3 linked regions of the Arabidopsis thaliana genome follow. The protein of the gene in region 3 interacts with the protein of the main gene of each other region in a pairwise test. Each region holds a gene or a part of one and is shown on either strand. Other genes may lie near its edges.

The links. The genes of interacting proteins can lie anywhere in the genome.
Region 1: the proteins of IAA13 (region 3) and ARF8 interact in a two-hybrid assay, tested with the Arabidopsis thaliana proteins (3 studies listed by BioGRID).
Region 2: the proteins of IAA13 (region 3) and NPH4 interact in a two-hybrid assay, tested with the Arabidopsis thaliana proteins (3 studies listed by BioGRID).

What each region holds. Positions count from the first base shown.
Region 1 is NC_003076.8:14,627,885-14,634,993, reverse strand, and holds ARF8 (auxin response factor 8), read right to left. Parts: upstream 5,542-7,109; 5' UTR 4,844-5,541; coding exon 4,801-4,843; intron 4,717-4,800; coding exon 4,607-4,716; intron 4,518-4,606; coding exon 4,419-4,517; exon of another isoform or gene 4,313-4,418; coding exon 4,256-4,312; intron 4,180-4,255; coding exon 4,024-4,179; intron 3,931-4,023; coding exon 3,846-3,930; intron 3,565-3,845; coding exon 3,474-3,564; intron 3,403-3,473; coding exon 3,238-3,402; intron 3,154-3,237; coding exon 3,031-3,153; intron 2,919-3,030; coding exon 2,843-2,918; intron 2,715-2,842; coding exon 2,567-2,714; intron 2,335-2,566; coding exon 1,361-2,334; intron 1,273-1,360; coding exon 1,082-1,272; coding exon of another isoform or gene 1,078-1,081; intron 1,006-1,077; coding exon 888-1,005; 3' UTR 540-887; downstream 1-539. Other genes in the region: AT5G37030 (P-loop containing nucleoside triphosphate hydrolases superfamily protein), read left to right, coding at 1-380. UniProt on the Arabidopsis thaliana protein: Auxin response factors (ARFs) are transcriptional factors that bind specifically to the DNA sequence 5'-TGTCTC-3' found in the auxin-responsive promoter elements (AuxREs). Seems to act as transcriptional activator.
Region 2 is NC_003076.8:7,016,075-7,024,104, reverse strand, and holds NPH4 (Transcriptional factor B3 family protein / auxin-responsive factor AUX/IAA-like protein), read left to right. Parts: upstream 1-1,991; 5' UTR 1,992-2,600; coding exon 2,601-2,646; intron 2,647-2,966; coding exon 2,967-3,079; intron 3,080-3,179; coding exon 3,180-3,275; intron 3,276-3,379; coding exon 3,380-3,436; intron 3,437-3,524; coding exon 3,525-3,680; intron 3,681-3,767; coding exon 3,768-3,852; intron 3,853-3,943; coding exon 3,944-4,034; intron 4,035-4,116; coding exon 4,117-4,284; intron 4,285-4,375; coding exon 4,376-4,571; intron 4,572-4,669; coding exon 4,670-4,808; intron 4,809-4,885; coding exon 4,886-6,864; intron 6,865-6,942; coding exon 6,943-7,133; intron 7,134-7,220; coding exon 7,221-7,401; 3' UTR 7,402-7,635; downstream 7,636-8,030. Other genes in the region: CPN20 (chaperonin 20), read right to left, coding at 7,751-7,924. UniProt on the Arabidopsis thaliana protein: Auxin response factors (ARFs) are transcriptional factors that bind specifically to the DNA sequence 5'-TGTCTC-3' found in the auxin-responsive promoter elements (AuxREs).
Region 3 is NC_003071.7:14,113,779-14,117,955, reverse strand, and holds IAA13 (auxin-induced protein 13), read left to right. Parts: upstream 1-1,986; 5' UTR 1,987-2,198; coding exon 2,199-2,419; intron 2,420-2,689; coding exon 2,690-3,100; intron 3,101-3,184; coding exon 3,185-3,246; intron 3,247-3,337; coding exon 3,338-3,387; 3' UTR 3,388-3,675; downstream 3,676-4,177. Other genes in the region: AT2G33300 (Transcription elongation factor (TFIIS) family protein), read right to left, coding at 3,996-4,177. UniProt on the Arabidopsis thaliana protein: Aux/IAA proteins are short-lived transcriptional factors that function as repressors of early auxin response genes at low auxin concentrations.

The DNA of each region.
Region 1 (7,109 bases), on a different chromosome or scaffold from region 3:
TGATTACTCCTTACAAAGGACAAGTTAGAGCAATCCAAGAGAGAATCAGAGATAAGTACAGTTCCTTATCAGGTGAGCTTTTCACTGTGAATGTTCGGTCTGTAGATGGGTTTCAAGGTGGTGAAGAAGACATTATCATCATCTCTACCGTTAGAAGTAATAGTAACGGGAAGGTTGGATTTCTCAGTAACCGTCAAAGAGCCAATGTGGCACTCACTCGAGCTAGGCACTGTTTATGGGTGATTGGAAATGAGTCAACACTGGCTCGGAGTGGTTCGATTTGGGCAAACCTTATAAGTGACTCGAAGAGACGTAAATGCTTCTATGATGCTAAAGATGATAAGAGATTGAGAGATGCCATGAATGCTGTCCAAGGTTGATAAGTCTGATGTGTGTGCACGTTTAAGTACTCTTTGGGTCAAAAAGAAAGGGAGAAAATGAGTTGTTGGTACTTCATCTATGTCATTCTTCAACCTAAGTTACTAGTAGAAGCTTTTGGTAACATTTTGTGATTAATGGTTGTGTTTTAAAGATTTGGTTGGTTTTGGTTTCACACCTTATGGAATCTAATTGGTCTGACCAAACTGAATGTCTAACAATGTTGTTACAAAAATAGAATAAGAATAAATACTAGAAAAGTTTAGTTACCCTGAGACAGCTACATAAAGGTTCTTATGTTTATGACGAGAGTGTCTGTCTAATACAAGCTAAAGTACGTCCTAAAGTTTCAGGACCCATACTCACAAATATGATTATGTTTCTTTCTAAAAACGTCAAAACGAGAGAGATGCGAACGAATGGCATATAAAGATGAGTGGAAACGACTTCAAATGGGAAACAAAGGGCTCCCGCGTTGTAGCATGATGAGACTAACACCGAAGCAGCTTCTAGAGATGGGTCGGGTTTTGCGGGAATAACCCACCACTGCCTTCTCCATGATCTCCCATTTGATGCACATCTTCTGGTGATAGTATCTTTATGTACCAAACGTTATTCACAAATGACCTGCAGAACAAGCTTTTAAAGATCTATCTCAAATCTAAAGCAATGTATACAAATAGAAGAAGAGTACTTTACTTACTCCCATGGGTCATCACCAAGGAGAAGAATATCATTTTCCTTGTCAACGAATACAAGCTGCCAGCCTGATCTAAGGGGGTCTTCCAACAACCCTTCGATAGCAAACATCTTCCCTAACTCTTCTCGCAGCTCGTGGTAGCTGCTGAATCGGGAGATGTCTAATGAACGCCCAACCGAACCAGATTTATAAACCTGCAGTTTTGGATTTGTAAGCATATCAGTATTTTCTTAGAGACAGTAGAGCCACAGAGAAGTCGGTGAGCCTAGAACAAACCAGCACCTTTACAAAGTTCTTGGTTTGGTTGGACGAGTTAATCTGTCCAGCTCCATGCAATAACTCATGAGTTGTGTCTTGCATGCAGCTATATAAGGAATTCTGAAATCCTGAATCTGTTAGTGACATAGGGGAAGCTTCAGCATCTCCTGATGAAGAAGCAAAGCGGGGAACCGTACTGGGGAGGAAGAGTCCAGAGTCGGGATCAACACCGAAAAGAGAGGGATTCTGCGGATTTCCGGGTTCTAGAGCAAGACTCTTCCCAGGATAGGCTTGTGGAAGTGACAACGGTTCAGAAAAAGTGTTGGATGCTTTTGGAGACCAGCCCTCTGTTGTTAACTGCTCAGGGAGTACAGACTGACCGGTTATAGAAAAATTCAAAAGATTGCCATCTCCAGAAGCCGGACTAGCAGTTGTTGCAAATTTGTTGCTTGAGTCAGTAAAATCTGACTTCATGAACGAGGGAGATGGCATCTCTGATTGCTGCTGCCACTGTTGAAGATGGCCATTTTGCATTTTGAAAGCATTAAGATATGCATTTTGGTCCGGTTGCTGTAGCTGTTGCTGCTGTCCAGCTGGTTGGTTACTAACTTCTTGTCGCATATTCTGCTGCGGAAGATTCTCACTCATAATCTGTGTTTGAGCATGCATGAGATGGCGTGACGCTTGTTGCTGCTGTTGCTGCTGAAGCATCAAATCAGAATTATGGGAAGCTGATTGTTGAAGATATTGGTGGTGAGGCTCTTGCAGCTGTACAAACTGCTGTCTTAAAGGATCTCCACCGCCGATGTTCTGCAACCCAGCAGCTAACATTGCTTGGTATTGCTGATTATTATCAGTCCCCATTTGACTGAGATCCAGCCTTTGTTGCATCCATGGAAACAAACCAACAGATGGATAATTTAGAGGAAGCAAACCTTGCTGCTCTCCACCTCCCCCTCTTAGCCATGTTAGACCACTTCCCAAATCACCCCTTCCATCTGTAACATCATAATGTTTTGAGTAAATAGCTATGGAGAGTACCTACACACTTCTTTGTAAATAAATTATAACAGTAAGACCCTCTTCAGAGCTCTACTCAATCGAACATTTGTTATTTATCCGAAGTAGCAACTAAGTTACAATAGCAGAAACACTGAGTGACAGTAAGAGACTTCACGAACGTACTATACTAGTTAATAACAGTTAGGAGAAGAGCCAAAAGGTGGATACCAGGCAAAGATGATGTGCCAGCATGCCATGGACGTTTTAGTCTGAGAGGAAAAAGAGATGGATACATAGGAAAGGTAGTCAGAGGCTCAATCTCCCATAAAGAAACCCTTGGCTGTCTCTCCCCTGCAGTCGATTCATCCCAACCAACCTACACCAATAATGCCACAGTTCATCAATGTTGATGGAATTTCAGAGTAATATTGGACTAAATCATCAGAAAGCTGTGTGACGTTCCATGGAATTTAAATAAGGTAACAGGCTTAATAGTGTTGTTACCTTCACAGATCGCCAATGAGAGTTTGGCCAACGAACAGAATCTAGATCACTAATACCAGTTATAGTACCCATGTACCTGGAAAGTTCCCCATGCCACTGTCAGAAAACATGTTAAAGTAATATGTGTAACATAATGATATAGTTTTCTCAGTTTCAAGATTGCATTTCCAGATATGTGGCATCATCACCTGCGGACACTCGACTCTTCTGTCTCGAAGAGCATGCGAAAGCGCATCCCAACTGAAATACGCGTGTGAAAAACGGCTTTAATGTACTTGGAAAGTTGTATCACAAACTCAGATTGGCTAGCCCTGAACATGAAGAGAATATTAGTAGGATATATTATCGGATATACCGAGAGATGAAAAAGATGCAGGTGGGAGAGATTTTTCAACCTTGGATGAAAGAAAACAGTGAAACAGCTATTAGTTGCAGAAGCATGTGCAGCAGCAGCAAGGAGTCCAATATGCATGCTATCACTAGATAAAACAGATGATGGTACAATAGTCTGCGGCCGAGTGGCATGACGAATTCCCAAAAAGAGTTGATTCTTTTCATTCCTGGAAACAAGTAATAGTGTTACAAATATAATCACAATCCACAAACTGAACGTACAACAAAAGAACTAAACCTGATGAAAATGACAGAATCTCCAGCTACTAGTCGCTTGGCACTGACAAAGACACTCCATCCAGTAGTTAGGAGATGCCGTTTGGGCTGTCCTGCATAATCACACCAAAACCATGTAAGTTATTCCTAACAAACCAAGAAGAAGGATTCAAATCAACTTAACTTCATATGAACAAGTAAATAATTCCACGTTATAATAGACAACGACAAGAACACAGAGCCTCCGTGGTTTCTTCAACTAAACCACACATGAGTAGTGAAAATAACAGCAGATGCTGCTTCAGACATACTTAACAGCCAATTGAAATTTTTACACTGGCGACTACAGTTAAAAAGGGATCATCAACGCACACCGAGGAAAGGTGAAACCTACCCCGAAAGATATGCCTAAACTTCCATTCAACATCATGGAGATCCCTTGCAATCAGTTCTTGAGCTGGTGGCTGCAGTGTGTAATCCTGCAACAGGGAAGACACAAGATATTAAAAGGAATACATATATTTTCTCAACAACAATTTATAGCAAAGTAAGTAAAAGAAAAAGTATAATACCAATGGAGGAAACACTTTCTCAGCAGCACGTCTAGGAACAGAAAACCCTCCATGTGTACTGGTATCACTAGCTGTGAGAGTCTTACAAAAATAATTACTAGGTTGCTTACTCGGTATCCCCAACTCAATCGGTACAAATGTTTCCTTCTGCTCCTCCTATAAACAACACCAATCCTAAAGCTTAAGTTATTAATTCACAGACTCAAAAACCTGTTATGTATAATGTATCTACCGGTGTCAATGGTTGAAGTGTCATTTGAGCATAGACTTCATCCGTCTCAACATCTGCCTGAAATAGTAGAAACGAAACCCATACTTACAAAGCACATCATCCCAAAACTAGTTTACAAAAGTAAAAATTGAATATGGAAAGGGACAGGGAACTAACTACGCACATGCATTGTAACATTATGGAGCTGGCATATCAATTGTGGTGGTAGGCTTGGGTAATTGGGTATGTGACCATCAACTTCCTTATTAGTTGTAGCAGCTACCTACAAGTACACTTCTATTTAAATGGAAATGCCCAAATATAACACAAGTCTAAAAATAAAGCTCCATACTTTTAAACAACAACCCAAACCTGTTCACTGTGACCCTGTGGAAAGTAAACAACTCGACTACCAGATGATGGAAGAGAGACTAATGGTCCAGCACAAGCATGCCATAGCTCAGAATTCAGACACTTCTCTCCTGTTAGAACAAACACAGACACAAGAACTAAGAAAACACTTGTCCAGAAACAGAACTAAGAAAATCAGAGAGTAAACAAGTCACCTTCATGACCCTGTTGACCCAATCCAGATGTTGACAGCTTCATGTCTAATTCAACTTCAAGAAACCAAACTTTGAAAACCCTAATTTTTCCGTACAATCTATTAAAAAATCTTCTTCACTTCCAGCTACTACAGTAGCTATAACTCTTTAGCTCCGGAAGTACAAACTCGTCTTTCTCCATCTCCTTTGTTCAAACCCCCAAAAATCTCACTCACAACCATAAGACTCAGTGAAAGCTTCGAATCAAAAAACCATCCATAAAACCCTTAAACACAAGAAACAGAACAAACCCCATTTCTTCAAAACCAGAATCTGTTTCTTCTCATCATCAAACCATGAACAACAACACAAGCTCTCTACTACAAGTACGCATTGAAGCAACCCCAACAGAAAAAAAAAAACTCTTGTCTTTGAGATCTTTGTGGATGAAAAAATGAAAGAAACAAGACAAAAGAACAAATCTTTCTTCTTCAACAACTTGACTTCTCTCGTGGGTAAAAAATTAAATCTCTTGAAGCAGTTCCATCACTGTCCAAGAGAGACACTTTGGCTTTCAAAAACAGAAGAGAGAGAGAGAAAGAAATGGTTAGTGAGAGAAAAAGATATGTGTCAGAGAGAGAAAAGAAGAGTGCGTGGGGGTGAAAGAGAGAGAGAAAAGAAGAAGAAAGTGAGTAAGTGGTTTTCCTCCTCTTATAAGAGACCCGACCCGACTCCACCCGACCCGGATTTGACCCGGATCCGATACAGTGGAGAGAAGGAAGAAGAAGAGAGGTCCTACTAACGAGAATTATGAGAGGTGGTGTCAGTACCAGAGTCACTTCTTTTTGACCGTTGGATTTGACTCTTGAGATCTTGATCGTTGAAAAATAATAATTGTTTTTTTTGAGGTCTTGGATTCGATGAAAAGGACAATGAATTATAGTATTTGAAGTGAGAGAGTGAGAGAGAGATAATAGAGTTGTCATAAATGTTAGCGTTGTTTATTTTAAATACTTTTTATTTTTGCTCCATTCATTGATGAAAGAAACACCAAATACTCCCATAATTTGATTTATTTAAAGATAATTTATAGTAGTATTTAATTTAATAACTCAAAAAATATTTTGTTGGATCTTTTATGAGTTCGTTGAAAAAATGGTCAAAGGTTTATCTATTGATAAGTGATGTATTATTAGATTCGCAAATCTAAGTTCTAATTTAGAAACAATCATTAGCAAATAGATGCCCGATAATCCAACATCTTATGGATACCACTATTTTACTTACCAAAAGAGAAAACTAATACACATGGATCTTGTTTGAATAATTTTTAAAAAATTTGGGATATGGAGTGTATCACTTGGAGAAGCTGGATTTGGAATAATCTTTGCAAGTTAAGACCCTTAACTAGGTTTTTCATCGTTTGTGAAATTGGTTCAGAAATAACTTGTAATTTCTGGACTGATAATTGGATTTTTTTGGGACCATATTTGTCGAGCTAACCTGAAGATTTATGACTAAGAATTTCTCTTCTCCCTCGTTCTGTTGTGGTTGCGGATGCATTGAGAAAGAGACAATAGTGGCTTACAAATTCTCGAAGTCGCAGTCCCATTATTCAGTTGCTTAAAGAATGTCTTCCTTCCTATTCTACTGTTAACTTACAAGAGGATGTAGAGGATGATGTTTACCTTTGGAAGGTGATGATATCCATGCATCAAATATTTTCTCTGCTGCTAAAACTTAGGCACATTAATATTCAAAAAAAAACTTATGCACATCTTCATCCTCCTGACACAAAGATGGATCGGTTTGAATCTGTGTGATTTCCAGGAAGGATTCTTAAGCATGCTTTCATTGCTTGGCTAAAGTCTCATCATAGACTTCTCACTAGAGACAAAATGATTCGATGGGGCATGACTACTCCTTCGTCGTGTCTTCTCTGTAATTTGATGGATGAATCTCGCTAACATTTATTCTTCGACTGCTCTTATGTTGCAAAGGTATGACACTATTTCTATGATAAAGCCCATCTTTCTCCTCTAAATCAATTTGAGGATGAAGTTAGATGGTTGAAGAATCCTTGTCGTGACAAGAAAACTACTTTGATTCTTCGAATTGCCTATCAAGCCTCACTGTACTCCATATGGAAAAAAGCGCAATGCAAGATTGCATAATTCATCCTCAAAGCCAGCCTCAGTTCTCATTATTTATCATTAACATTCTTCAATGTCATCTAGACCCTTGTTGGATAGCTCAACGGATCATTCATCTGGTTTGGTGTCTTTCAATAAATTTATTGTAATACTTTTGTTATCTCATTTATTTCGATT
Region 2 (8,030 bases), on a different chromosome or scaffold from region 3:
TTTTACAAAATTTATGTTAAAAAATTATGTTTAGCGTTTTACAAAAATTATGCTAGAAAAGTTTATGTTTAGCGGAAATCTAAAATCACTTAAAACGCAAAAAATTAATCAGTACGTAGATTATTTTCCACAACTCTCTCTTACATACAAATTAACAAATAATGCATATCAGAATGACATAGTAAAGTCGAGAAAATCATGGAATCGTAACGAAACTTCCTCGTCTCTCTCTGATAATTCATCCAACTCAAGTGGTGTATTTTGTGGTTACATTTACATATATTGTCAACACCAACTGTCGAATTCATTAAATCGGCTAAAATACGTTGATGTGATTCTGGAAATATCTTTAGGACAGTATATGAGTTATTCATCTTGTTCATTTTCCACTTTCCACTGCGGACACCATACGGACACACAACCGGTTCTGAAATGCGTCACGCTCTTCTTCCTTTCATTCCAACTTTAATACATGCATGAAGTCGTAGTTCGGAGTTCATACTAAATTTCGGTCACTTTGTAATAAGAAAACTATTAACATTTTTCTTTTTCTTTTTTTAAACGTTAGCTAGGCCTCAAAGTTTCACAAAAAAAAAAGAAAAAAAAAAGCTAGGCGTCGAAATCCATAACTTCAAAAGGCCTTCTTACATTCATCCAATCTCCAAACTTCTGTCTTCACGCATTTATTGCTCAGGGACATCATGTCGCTACTCACTGCCACTTATTTGAATTGACATCCATTCATTCCATACATATATATTACCTTCACTTAAAGTTGTAAGTATATAGAATTTTAAGCATTCCTGCCAAATAAGTTTTGGATCGAACCTAAACTAACAAAGAGGTTACTGTTTTGTAACTTTCTTTTTTGATGTGGGGTCATTCAAAGGGTTTACATGCATTTTACAATGGTCTGTGATGAATATGGAGGTTCAGTCTTTGGTAGATAAAACTTGTTATGTGGCCTTAAACCAAATAGATTGTAGTTTGTACAATGACATATTTATGGTTATATTCGGTTTTCCAATATGTTTAGGAATATATATCACCGTTTTTTTTTGGGTAGACATTTTAACGATTATAGAGGAAAATTTTGAATGATGGCTGTACTGGGAAAAGAGTGTAAGTTGTGATCATCATATGTAATTTTATTTTGTGTGACATTATAACACTTCTTCCAAAAGACAAAAGTTTAGGTTAATTAATATAAGAAACCAATAAAGAATCATGAACAAAGAGAGAACTTCTATCATTTTTGATATGAAATCGTCCGTTAAAATATTGTTCTTTGTGATCGCATATGCTGTATGTACTTAGATTTGATCAATTAATCAACATTTACAACAAAATAAGATCAATTGTTTATAATGATGATCTAAGCGAATTTAGATTTGTTTGTTATTATAGAACTCATTACTAAACATTTAAGTTCCATTCTCGTTTAAAACATGAACGCTAGTTTATGAAACTCAGAACCAACCATGTAAAACTCCACAAAATTTCTAGTAAAATGCTTTTGTTCAAAATAATGAAAATCATAAAATTTTTTGATGAATTATGAATCCTAAAATCTATCTGAATTAAATATAGTTAACTACAAAAGAAATTGCCAAACATATATGTACGCACTTTGATCAAATAACTAGCTAGTCAGCTTAGTTTGTTTTTTTCAATACATCCCCTATAAATCTATGTTATCCCTAATCAAGTATTACAATAAATGATACAGTAATAATAACCTTAATGAAAAAAACTTATCAAATTATCAGAGATAAGGAAAAAGAAAACACTAATAAAGTTGTTTTTTTGTGTGTCAAAGTTAAAATTTTAGAGGACAATAATAACATTAAGAAATTAAATCGTGGCCAGTTTGCTAGTGAATATGTCGGCTTCATGAGCATAACTAAATAGGTATAAAAAAATAAAAATATCGGAAAAAGAAAAGAGAAGGAAAAAAAAAGGAGAGGAAGAAGAAAAAGCTGTTCCTGTGCTTTAGCAGACCTTTTGGTAGTTGTCCTGGTCGCTGATCATCCCTTTCCGACAACTCTGTTGCTCTTTCTCTCACGTTTGAGTCTTAATCTTCGATTGTCCTTGGTCATCCTTAAGTTTTGTTTTTCTCTTTCGATTCATTTTCCAGATTTCTTTTTATAGAAACCCGTCTCTTTGATTTGATTCCCCCCAAGAAAGGAAAGCAAAACAAAGAAGAGCAGCTGAATCAAGTAACTTTGTGGGTGTTTTTGAATTATCTGACTCGAGATAAAGAGCTTCGTTAAAAACGGAATCTTTTTTAAGGTCGTATGCTTTGTTTGTCTCTCCGGAGATTCCGCGTGTGAAAAGTCGTGGTTTTTGATCTCTTTGAGATACTTAAAATTTCCGAGAAATTGGCGGCTCTGTCGGAGATAAAAAGCTGAGATCTTGGAGTTCCCCATTTCTGATTAACGATTCTCTCTGCTGTTACTTGAGCTAGGAAGCTATTAACAACTTGAGTGAAAGTTTAGGGCTTTTGATGAAGCTCTCACGCAAAGAGCTTAGCTTTGTATAAGCTCAGATTCAGATTATTTATTGGGTTTATTCTTCAGAGAAAGTAAAGTTGAGTGATCATGAAAGCTCCTTCATCAAATGGAGTTTCTCCTAATCCTGTTGAAGGTTTGTGTGTTTCTCGTATCTGATAAATGTCAATCCTTTAGTAGAAGAAATTCATTGCTGGATTTGAATAGATTCAAGTTTTAAGTAGAAGAGGTCACACATTTCTTCAGAATTGCTGGATTTGAGAACCTGAATTGAATTGGTTTCGGTCATTTTCTGCTTAGAGAGTAAGCTAAGTTACTATTGTATTGGTTTATAAAGACTGTGGCTTTTAGTTGGTTTAGAGCAGTTCTCTCCTATCTTGTTGGTTTGATAATAGTAACTGAATGAAGATCCTAGAGATTTTAAGTAATCACAGCTTTGATGTTGTGTGAATGCAGGAGAAAGGAGAAATATAAACTCAGAGCTATGGCACGCTTGTGCTGGGCCATTGATTTCGTTGCCTCCAGCAGGAAGTCTTGTTGTTTACTTCCCTCAAGGTCACAGTGAGCAAGTATGTTGTTCAATAAAGTTTGGTATCATTCGCGGCTGATCAAGAATGAGTCGCTGATTGGAAATTTCATGTGGTTGCTATTTATTTTTCTGTTTCTTAGGTCGCGGCTTCAATGCAGAAGCAGACTGATTTCATACCAAGTTACCCGAATCTTCCTTCCAAGCTCATATGCATGCTCCACAATGTTACACTGAATGTATGGTATCTTTTAAATATCTATAATGGCCTCTTAGGCTAGTTGTTTTAACATTTTTTGCTTTTGAGTTGCTAATGTTTTGCTAATTGTCGACTGTGAACCAGGCTGATCCTGAGACGGATGAGGTCTATGCGCAGATGACTCTTCAGCCAGTAAACAAAGTAGCTTACCTTTCACTGAATAACTCGATTTATAGGTGTATTTAAGGAGTAGGGAGGGACTAATTGCTCTGAGCATTTTGTTGAACAGTATGACAGAGATGCATTGCTTGCTTCTGACATGGGTCTTAAGCTAAACAGACAACCTAATGAATTTTTCTGCAAAACCCTCACGGCGAGTGACACAAGTACTCACGGTGGATTTTCTGTACCCCGACGAGCTGCTGAGAAAATCTTTCCTGCTCTGGTGTATATACAATACTTTCTTATACATCTGATAGTTAGTATCTCTGTATTGCCTTAGTTTCTTACATTGTTGGCAATATTTTACTAGGATTTCTCGATGCAACCACCTTGTCAGGAGCTTGTTGCTAAGGATATTCATGACAACACATGGACTTTCAGACATATTTATCGAGGTTTTACCTTGTTTTTGGTAGATTACCTTCTTTAATCAATTTGGCTTTCGTAGAATTGTTCTTACGTTTTGGATATGTTGACATTTATCAGGTCAACCAAAAAGGCACTTGCTAACTACAGGCTGGAGTGTGTTTGTCAGCACGAAAAGGCTCTTTGCTGGAGACTCTGTTCTTTTTATAAGGTATATCAATCTCAATGTGCCAATGCTCTCTTTCGGTATTTTTTTTTGTCAAGATGCTAATTCTTTTTTTCTTTCAATTAAGAGATGGAAAGGCGCAACTTCTGTTGGGGATAAGACGTGCAAATAGACAACAGCCTGCACTTTCTTCATCTGTAATATCAAGTGATAGCATGCACATCGGAGTTCTTGCAGCTGCAGCTCATGCTAATGCTAATAACAGTCCTTTCACCATTTTCTACAACCCGAGGTGGCGATCTATGTTTCCTTTTGTCTACGTTAACCTTACTATATATGCTTGTTTCATGGCAATTGCTGAGAGATTTACAACCGAGTTTTTTCAGGGCTGCTCCTGCTGAGTTTGTGGTTCCTTTAGCCAAGTATACCAAAGCGATGTACGCTCAAGTTTCCCTCGGTATGCGGTTTAGAATGATATTTGAGACTGAAGAATGTGGAGTTCGTCGGTATATGGGTACAGTTACCGGTATCAGTGATCTTGATCCAGTGAGATGGAAAAACTCTCAGTGGCGGAATCTTCAGGTAGTTTGAAGTAAAACTCATGATGAATGTCAGATTTGTCTTTCTTGATACATTGCACCATTCATTTTAGTTATGCTTTGTTTCTGTTTCTGCTAAAGATTGGATGGGATGAGTCAGCTGCTGGTGATAGGCCCAGTCGAGTTTCAGTTTGGGACATTGAACCGGTTTTAACTCCTTTCTACATATGTCCTCCTCCATTTTTCCGACCTCGCTTTTCTGGACAACCTGGAATGCCAGGTAAATTTTTGTACCATTTCATTTCGACACAACTTCTTTGAATCTCCTCAAGGACGGAATTTCCGGTGCTCTTGCAGATGATGAGACTGACATGGAGTCTGCACTGAAGAGAGCAATGCCATGGCTTGATAATAGCTTAGAGATGAAAGACCCTTCGAGTACTATCTTTCCTGGTCTGAGTTTAGTTCAGTGGATGAATATGCAGCAGCAGAACGGCCAGCTACCCTCTGCTGCTGCACAGCCAGGTTTCTTCCCATCAATGCTTTCGCCAACCGCGGCGCTGCACAACAATCTTGGCGGCACTGATGATCCCTCCAAGTTACTGAGCTTTCAGACGCCGCACGGGGGGATTTCCTCCTCAAATCTCCAATTTAACAAACAGAATCAGCAAGCCCCAATGTCTCAGTTGCCTCAGCCACCAACTACGTTGTCCCAACAACAGCAGCTGCAGCAATTGTTGCACTCCTCTTTGAACCATCAACAACAGCAATCGCAGTCTCAACAACAGCAACAACAACAACAGTTGCTGCAGCAGCAACAACAATTGCAGTCTCAACAACACAGCAACAACAATCAATCGCAGTCTCAGCAACAACAACAATTGCTCCAGCAGCAACAACAACAACAACTGCAGCAACAACATCAACAACCGTTACAGCAACAGACTCAGCAGCAGCAGCTAAGAACACAGCCATTGCAATCTCACTCGCATCCACAGCCACAACAGTTACAACAACATAAGTTGCAGCAACTTCAGGTTCCACAGAATCAGCTTTACAATGGTCAACAAGCAGCGCAGCAGCATCAGTCGCAACAAGCATCTACACATCATTTGCAACCACAATTAGTTTCGGGATCAATGGCAAGCAGTGTCATCACGCCTCCGTCCAGCTCCCTTAATCAAAGCTTTCAACAGCAACAACAACAGTCTAAGCAACTTCAACAAGCACATCACCATTTAGGTGCTAGCACTAGCCAGAGTAGTGTAATTGAAACCAGCAAGTCTTCATCCAATCTGATGTCCGCACCGCCGCAAGAGACACAGTTTTCACGACAAGTAGAACAGCAGCAGCCTCCTGGTCTCAACGGGCAGAATCAGCAAACACTTTTGCAGCAGAAAGCTCACCAGGCACAGGCCCAACAGATATTCCAGCAGAGTCTCTTGGAACAGCCGCATATACAGTTTCAGCTGTTACAGAGATTACAACAGCAACAGCAGCAGCAATTTCTTTCGCCGCAGTCTCAGTTACCACACCATCAATTGCAAAGCCAGCAGTTGCAACAGCTGCCTACTCTCTCTCAAGGTCATCAGTTTCCGTCATCTTGCACTAACAATGGCTTATCGACGTTGCAACCACCTCAAATGCTGGTGAGCCGACCTCAGGAAAAACAAAACCCACCGGTTGGGGGAGGGGTCAAAGCTTATTCAGGCATCACAGATGGAGGAGATGCACCTTCCTCTTCAACGTCGCCTTCCACCAACAACTGTCAGATCTCTTCTTCAGGCTTTCTCAACAGAAGCCAAAGCGGGCCAGCGATCTTGATACCTGATGCAGCGATTGATATGTCTGGTAATCTTGTTCAGGATCTTTACAGCAAATCCGATATGCGGCTAAAACAAGAACTCGTGGGTCAGCAAAAGTCCAAAGCTAGTTTAACAGATCATCAACTAGAAGCATCTGCCTCTGGAACTTCTTACGGTTTAGATGGAGGCGAAAACAACAGACAACAAAATTTCTTGGCTCCAACTTTTGGCCTTGACGGTGATTCCAGGAACAGCTTGCTCGGTGGAGCTAATGTTGATAATGGCTTTGTGCCTGACACGCTACTCTCGAGGGGATATGACTCCCAGAAAGATCTTCAGAACATGCTTTCAAACTATGGAGGAGTGACAAATGACATTGGTACAGAGATGTCTACTTCAGCTGTAAGAACTCAATCTTTTGGTGTCCCCAATGTGCCCGCCATTTCGAACGATCTAGCTGTCAACGATGCTGGAGTTCTTGGTGGTGGATTGTGGCCAGCTCAGACTCAGCGAATGCGAACTTATACAAAGGTTCGATTGTGCTCTGATCTATGCTTGTTGATATTTGGGTTATGTTTTCGGTTTGACAAATGTTAAATTTTCCTACAGGTGCAAAAACGAGGCTCAGTGGGGAGATCAATAGACGTCAACCGTTACAGAGGTTACGATGAGCTGAGGCATGATCTAGCGCGCATGTTTGGGATCGAAGGACAGCTCGAAGATCCTCAAACATCTGACTGGAAACTTGTTTATGTCGATCATGAAAATGACATCCTCCTCGTCGGCGATGATCCATGGGAGTAAGTAGAGAGCAATTACATTCACACATCAGACTGTTAGAAGTTCCATTATTTTTTTGCTAACCTTTAAAATCGTGATTTTTGCAGAGAATTCGTAAACTGTGTTCAGAGCATTAAGATCCTTTCATCAGCTGAGGTTCAGCAGATGAGCTTAGACGGGAACTTTGCCGGTGTACCAGTTACTAATCAAGCTTGTAGTGGCGGTGACAGTGGCAATGCTTGGAGAGGTCATTATGATGATAACTCAGCCACTTCGTTTAACCGGTGATGGCAGAAGAGTTCTCTCACAGACAAAGATTCTTTTTTCTTCGTTTTGTAATATAACTTCTCGTTGATAACATGTCTCAAGTTTCCACTGGGCACTGTAGAGCATTTACCTGTAAAATATCTTCCACTAAGTTTACACGGAGATTTTATTTGCTGTGAGTCACTGTTTCTACCAAGTTTAACTGATCAACTGAAACCGCTTGTAACCAAAAAGAGAAGGAAAAACATGAAATCAGCAATAAAATCACATTTTCAAACTCAAGTCTTTATTCCAGATTATGCTCAGGCCGTTTACGGAAAAAATTTCCACAATTGGGATACAAGTTGCAGATTACAAAGATATAACATAACTAAGAAAGTATAGCCATCACATCTGAAGCTCTGAGGGCAATGTAGTTGGAACCATCTTTGCCCTTGAAGTCGTTACCAGCATACTTGGAGTAAAGTACTGTGCTTCCGGTTGATACTGGTAGAGGCGTAATTTTACCTTCCTCGTCTAGGGAACCCGGTCCAACTGCTATCACCTGCCATAAAATGAAGAGGAGAATATGTATAATTGGAACTTGTGTATGAACTGACTATCACATCAAGCTACTAAGAAAGTATCAGATTCCCCGAATGGACATGATA
Region 3 (4,177 bases):
ATGTCACATATGTTACAATTTTGGAACGTTTATACTTTATCAATATATATATATATTAATATATATTTACAAGCGTGAAGTCATCTCCATCATTTATCTTCAACCATTTGATTACAAGTTATGTATCATGAATCTGCTTTTGTCTTTTCCTTATGATTCCAAATGATATTAACCTTCAACTTGTTGCATGTTCACAAGAGACAAACACAATTCACGGTATATTTGATCAATTGTAATTCGTTACATACATAACTTTAATTCATTGAAATATACACGAACTAGATCAATTAAAAAATTCAGGACGTTGAAAAAGCTTTACAAAAGAAAAGAATGTATAACTTTTCCTTTACACGAATAGTAAATGAGAAAAACTCACATCTACAATTTTCGTTATCGTGTTAAATAGTATACAAATTTAAACCACTTTTTGAGCATTTAGACCTAAGTTTTATTTTCCGGAGATAAGCTGTTATTTTGCTCTGTTTACGTTTTCTTTTGCATCACTACTCTTATGCATATGTATATAAGTCCTCACTTTACTCATTAATAAATTTCTTATTTAAACTAAAAAATCATATACCGAAGTTACTATAAAACCTACGAATTCTCTCTAATTCATAAACATTTGTAAACAGCATTCATTAATACTATATGATAGATAATAAATAACTGTTCGTATAATCTACTTATTTTTCTTATTTCACCTTTACAGACAACCCCACAGCCCACTTGGGTATCGACTTTATAGTTAAAGCAATGTTCGTGCCTTTTGTCCTATAAAGGAACGACACAGGTAGCGCCTAAGAAAAAAATAAAAACTAACAAGTGAGTAAAAATGCAAAATAAGTAGAAGGGAAAAAGAAAAAACGAGTATAAAAATCACACGCAATTCTAGAACAAACGTAGATAACGTGAAAAACATAGAATCAACTATTTGATATTGACTAACTGTTAGTGTACTTGGAACTGTGAGAATAAGTCGCTTTGAAGTCTGAAGAGGTTCAGGTGTCCTGAGTTTCTAAATAAATAAAGAGAACAAACTTGTACTTGTTTTTTGGTTGTGAAATATTACTGTATCTTAATACTGTGAAATTTCAACATATTTCTTGAAACTAAGTTTGGTATTTCTAGCAAATCCATCAATAGAGTATGAAATTCAATGTTCTCATTTAGTCATGATTTTGATCAAAAGAGAATTTTCCACACATCAATTGCGATTGAAAAAGTTTTCAAAGGATCATCATAGCTCACATCAAGAAACATGATGATGAATAATCTCATCACCACTATTTATTTAATAATTCCTTATAATGAAAACCAATTTTGTTCTCACTTTATTTGGAACCCATCATAGTCTAGTCCTCCACGAAAAAAAGAAAAGAAAATAAATGAGCATATAGTGACCCAAAACTAAACCCAAATTCAACTTTTTTTCAAAACTGGTACTTAGCTATACGTTTTCACATATTTAACAGTTGTTACTATGAACATGATATAAAGCATAGCTAACCAGATAAGATCAAACGCAACGAATACAAAATAAACTCTAATATAGCAATCATCAAAACGAATACAAATTCTTGCAAAAATAGAAAAGAAAGTGTGATGCAAAAACAAAGCTTTCCACAAATACAAACACATAACACAAAAACAACAGTTTATATATTTAATATAGTTTAATAAGATATGTTTGTTTTGTTTATCATATTTTTTTATAAACACAGGAGAAAACAATAAGGTAAACGGGAGCACGACAAGTTTGATAATGTCGGGAAGAAAAGTTAAAAAGAATTTCTTTGTTAATAATAAAATTAGGGAATAAAAAAAGGGTAAAAGAGAAGAAGAAAGAATGGCATTGTTGTTGGTATGGCCACTACCAGACATATGGGTCCTACTCTTCTCATCACTCTCTCCACCACCTAATCCTCTCTCTCTTTCTTCTTCCTCAATTCTTGAAACTCTCTTTCAGATTTCAAGAAACCCTTAAAATCCTCTCTCTGTCTCTTTCTGTTTGTTTGTTTTCTTGTTTCCTTCTCTCTCTCTCTTTCTTTCTTTGTCTTCCTTTCCCAGGTTGTTTTTTTTTGCTCTCTCTGCCTTCTTGACTTTCAAAAGACTCTTTCTTTCTTTTGGATTGATTTTGGATTCTAGGGCTCTCTTTCTTTTAGTGGGTTTTTGTTGTTGTTGTTGTGGTCTCTCTGATGATTACTGAACTTGAGATGGGGAAAGGTGAGAGTGAGCTTGAGCTTGGTCTAGGGCTGAGTCTTGGCGGTGGAACGGCGGCCAAGATTGGTAAATCAGGTGGTGGTGGCGCGTGGGGAGAGCGTGGAAGGCTTTTGACGGCTAAGGATTTTCCTTCTGTTGGTTCTAAACGTGCTGCTGATTCTGCTTCTCATGCTGGTTCATCTCCTCCTCGTTCAAGGTTCGTCTTTTTCAAGCTTTTTGGTTTCAAAGAAAGATCTTTTAAGATGTTTAATTCCTTTTGTATGATGTGAAATTGCTATTCTCTGAACATAGTTCGTTTAGGAGTTTCTTAAAGATTCTTTAGTGTTTGGATGTATACTTGATCTGAGTTATGTCGGAAGAAATGCTCTGGTTTGGAATTAGGAATCTTGAATAGTTGAATCTGTTCTTGGTTTTGATTCATTTGGATAGATTACAAGTCCTGACTTGATGTTTGCTTTGTTTGTAGCAGTCAAGTTGTTGGATGGCCTCCTATAGGGTCACACAGGATGAACAGTTTGGTTAATAACCAAGCTACAAAGTCAGCAAGAGAAGAAGAAGAAGCTGGTAAGAAGAAAGTGAAAGATGATGAACCTAAAGATGTGACAAAGAAAGTGAATGGGAAAGTACAAGTTGGATTTATTAAGGTGAACATGGATGGAGTTGCTATAGGAAGAAAAGTGGATTTGAATGCTCATTCTTCTTACGAGAATTTGGCGCAAACATTGGAAGATATGTTCTTTCGCACTAATCCGGGTACTGTCGGGTTAACCAGTCAGTTCACTAAACCGTTGAGGCTTTTAGATGGATCGTCTGAGTTTGTACTTACTTATGAAGATAAGGAAGGAGATTGGATGCTTGTTGGTGATGTTCCATGGAGGTAATAGATCTAAAAACCTTGTTTATTTATCTCTTACACTTCCAATAAATGTTTCTGATGGTCTTTTTGTTGGAATTATCTTAGAATGTTCATCAACTCGGTGAAAAGGCTACGTGTGATGAAAACCTCTGAAGCTAATGGACTCGGTATGTAGATAATCTCATCTTGATTCCTGTTCTTGTTTCTCAAGATGACGCAATGAAAAATTTCTACTAAAACATGTTAATATATATGCAGCTGCACGAAATCAAGAACCAAACGAGAGACAGCGAAAGCAGCCGGTTTAGATCTCTTTTCGACGTTACGGTGTTACAGGTTTTATATTTTGGGGTTTTGCAAGTCTGAGATACTTCTGAAGCAAGCATAAGCTAGATTGATCTTATATCCAGTTTGTGTATTTTCTTGGTTCTTATAATGGTTTTTACTGGTTTTCTTTAGTTTTTTTTTTTGCTGTCTTTTAATTTTCGGTTGCGATTTCACTATATACTATGGATGGAAGAGAATGCTCTTTATATCTTTTACTACACTGTAAATATTTGAAGCTTATCTAATATCGTTTTTAAGGGTTTTTGTTGATGAGTCTACTCTAATGATCTTAGAACTATGCCAATATATCCACAAATAACTACTCAGATCAAATGGGGTTACGGAAACATAAGGCAAGAAAGCAAATAGATTACAAAACTCATAATGTATTTACAACTCAAAACGTTTCACACAGGTTAAACTTCTTATAATAGTGATTGTGAAAATCCTTAATACATACATATTCCTCTCACTGTTAGCTTTTGAGTAATGTAATTGAAGCAGTGACTACAATACTCTACTTTAAGCAAAAGAATAAGCAAGCAACCAACGTTTTCAAGTCATAAGCTTTTAAATTCCCTAGTGACATTTAGCCTTGAGTTTTACGGGACTCTCTGAGTTGTTGATCTCTGATACTCTGCCTCCAACATTGAAGAAGTTTTGAAACAGAATTGCATATTTTTCGGTTCTTGTGTTTTGTAAGATTCTCTAGCCTAACCATGAGCTTCCTTGTTTCCATAGCTCTTGCGCTGATGGGGAACTCCAAGAGCA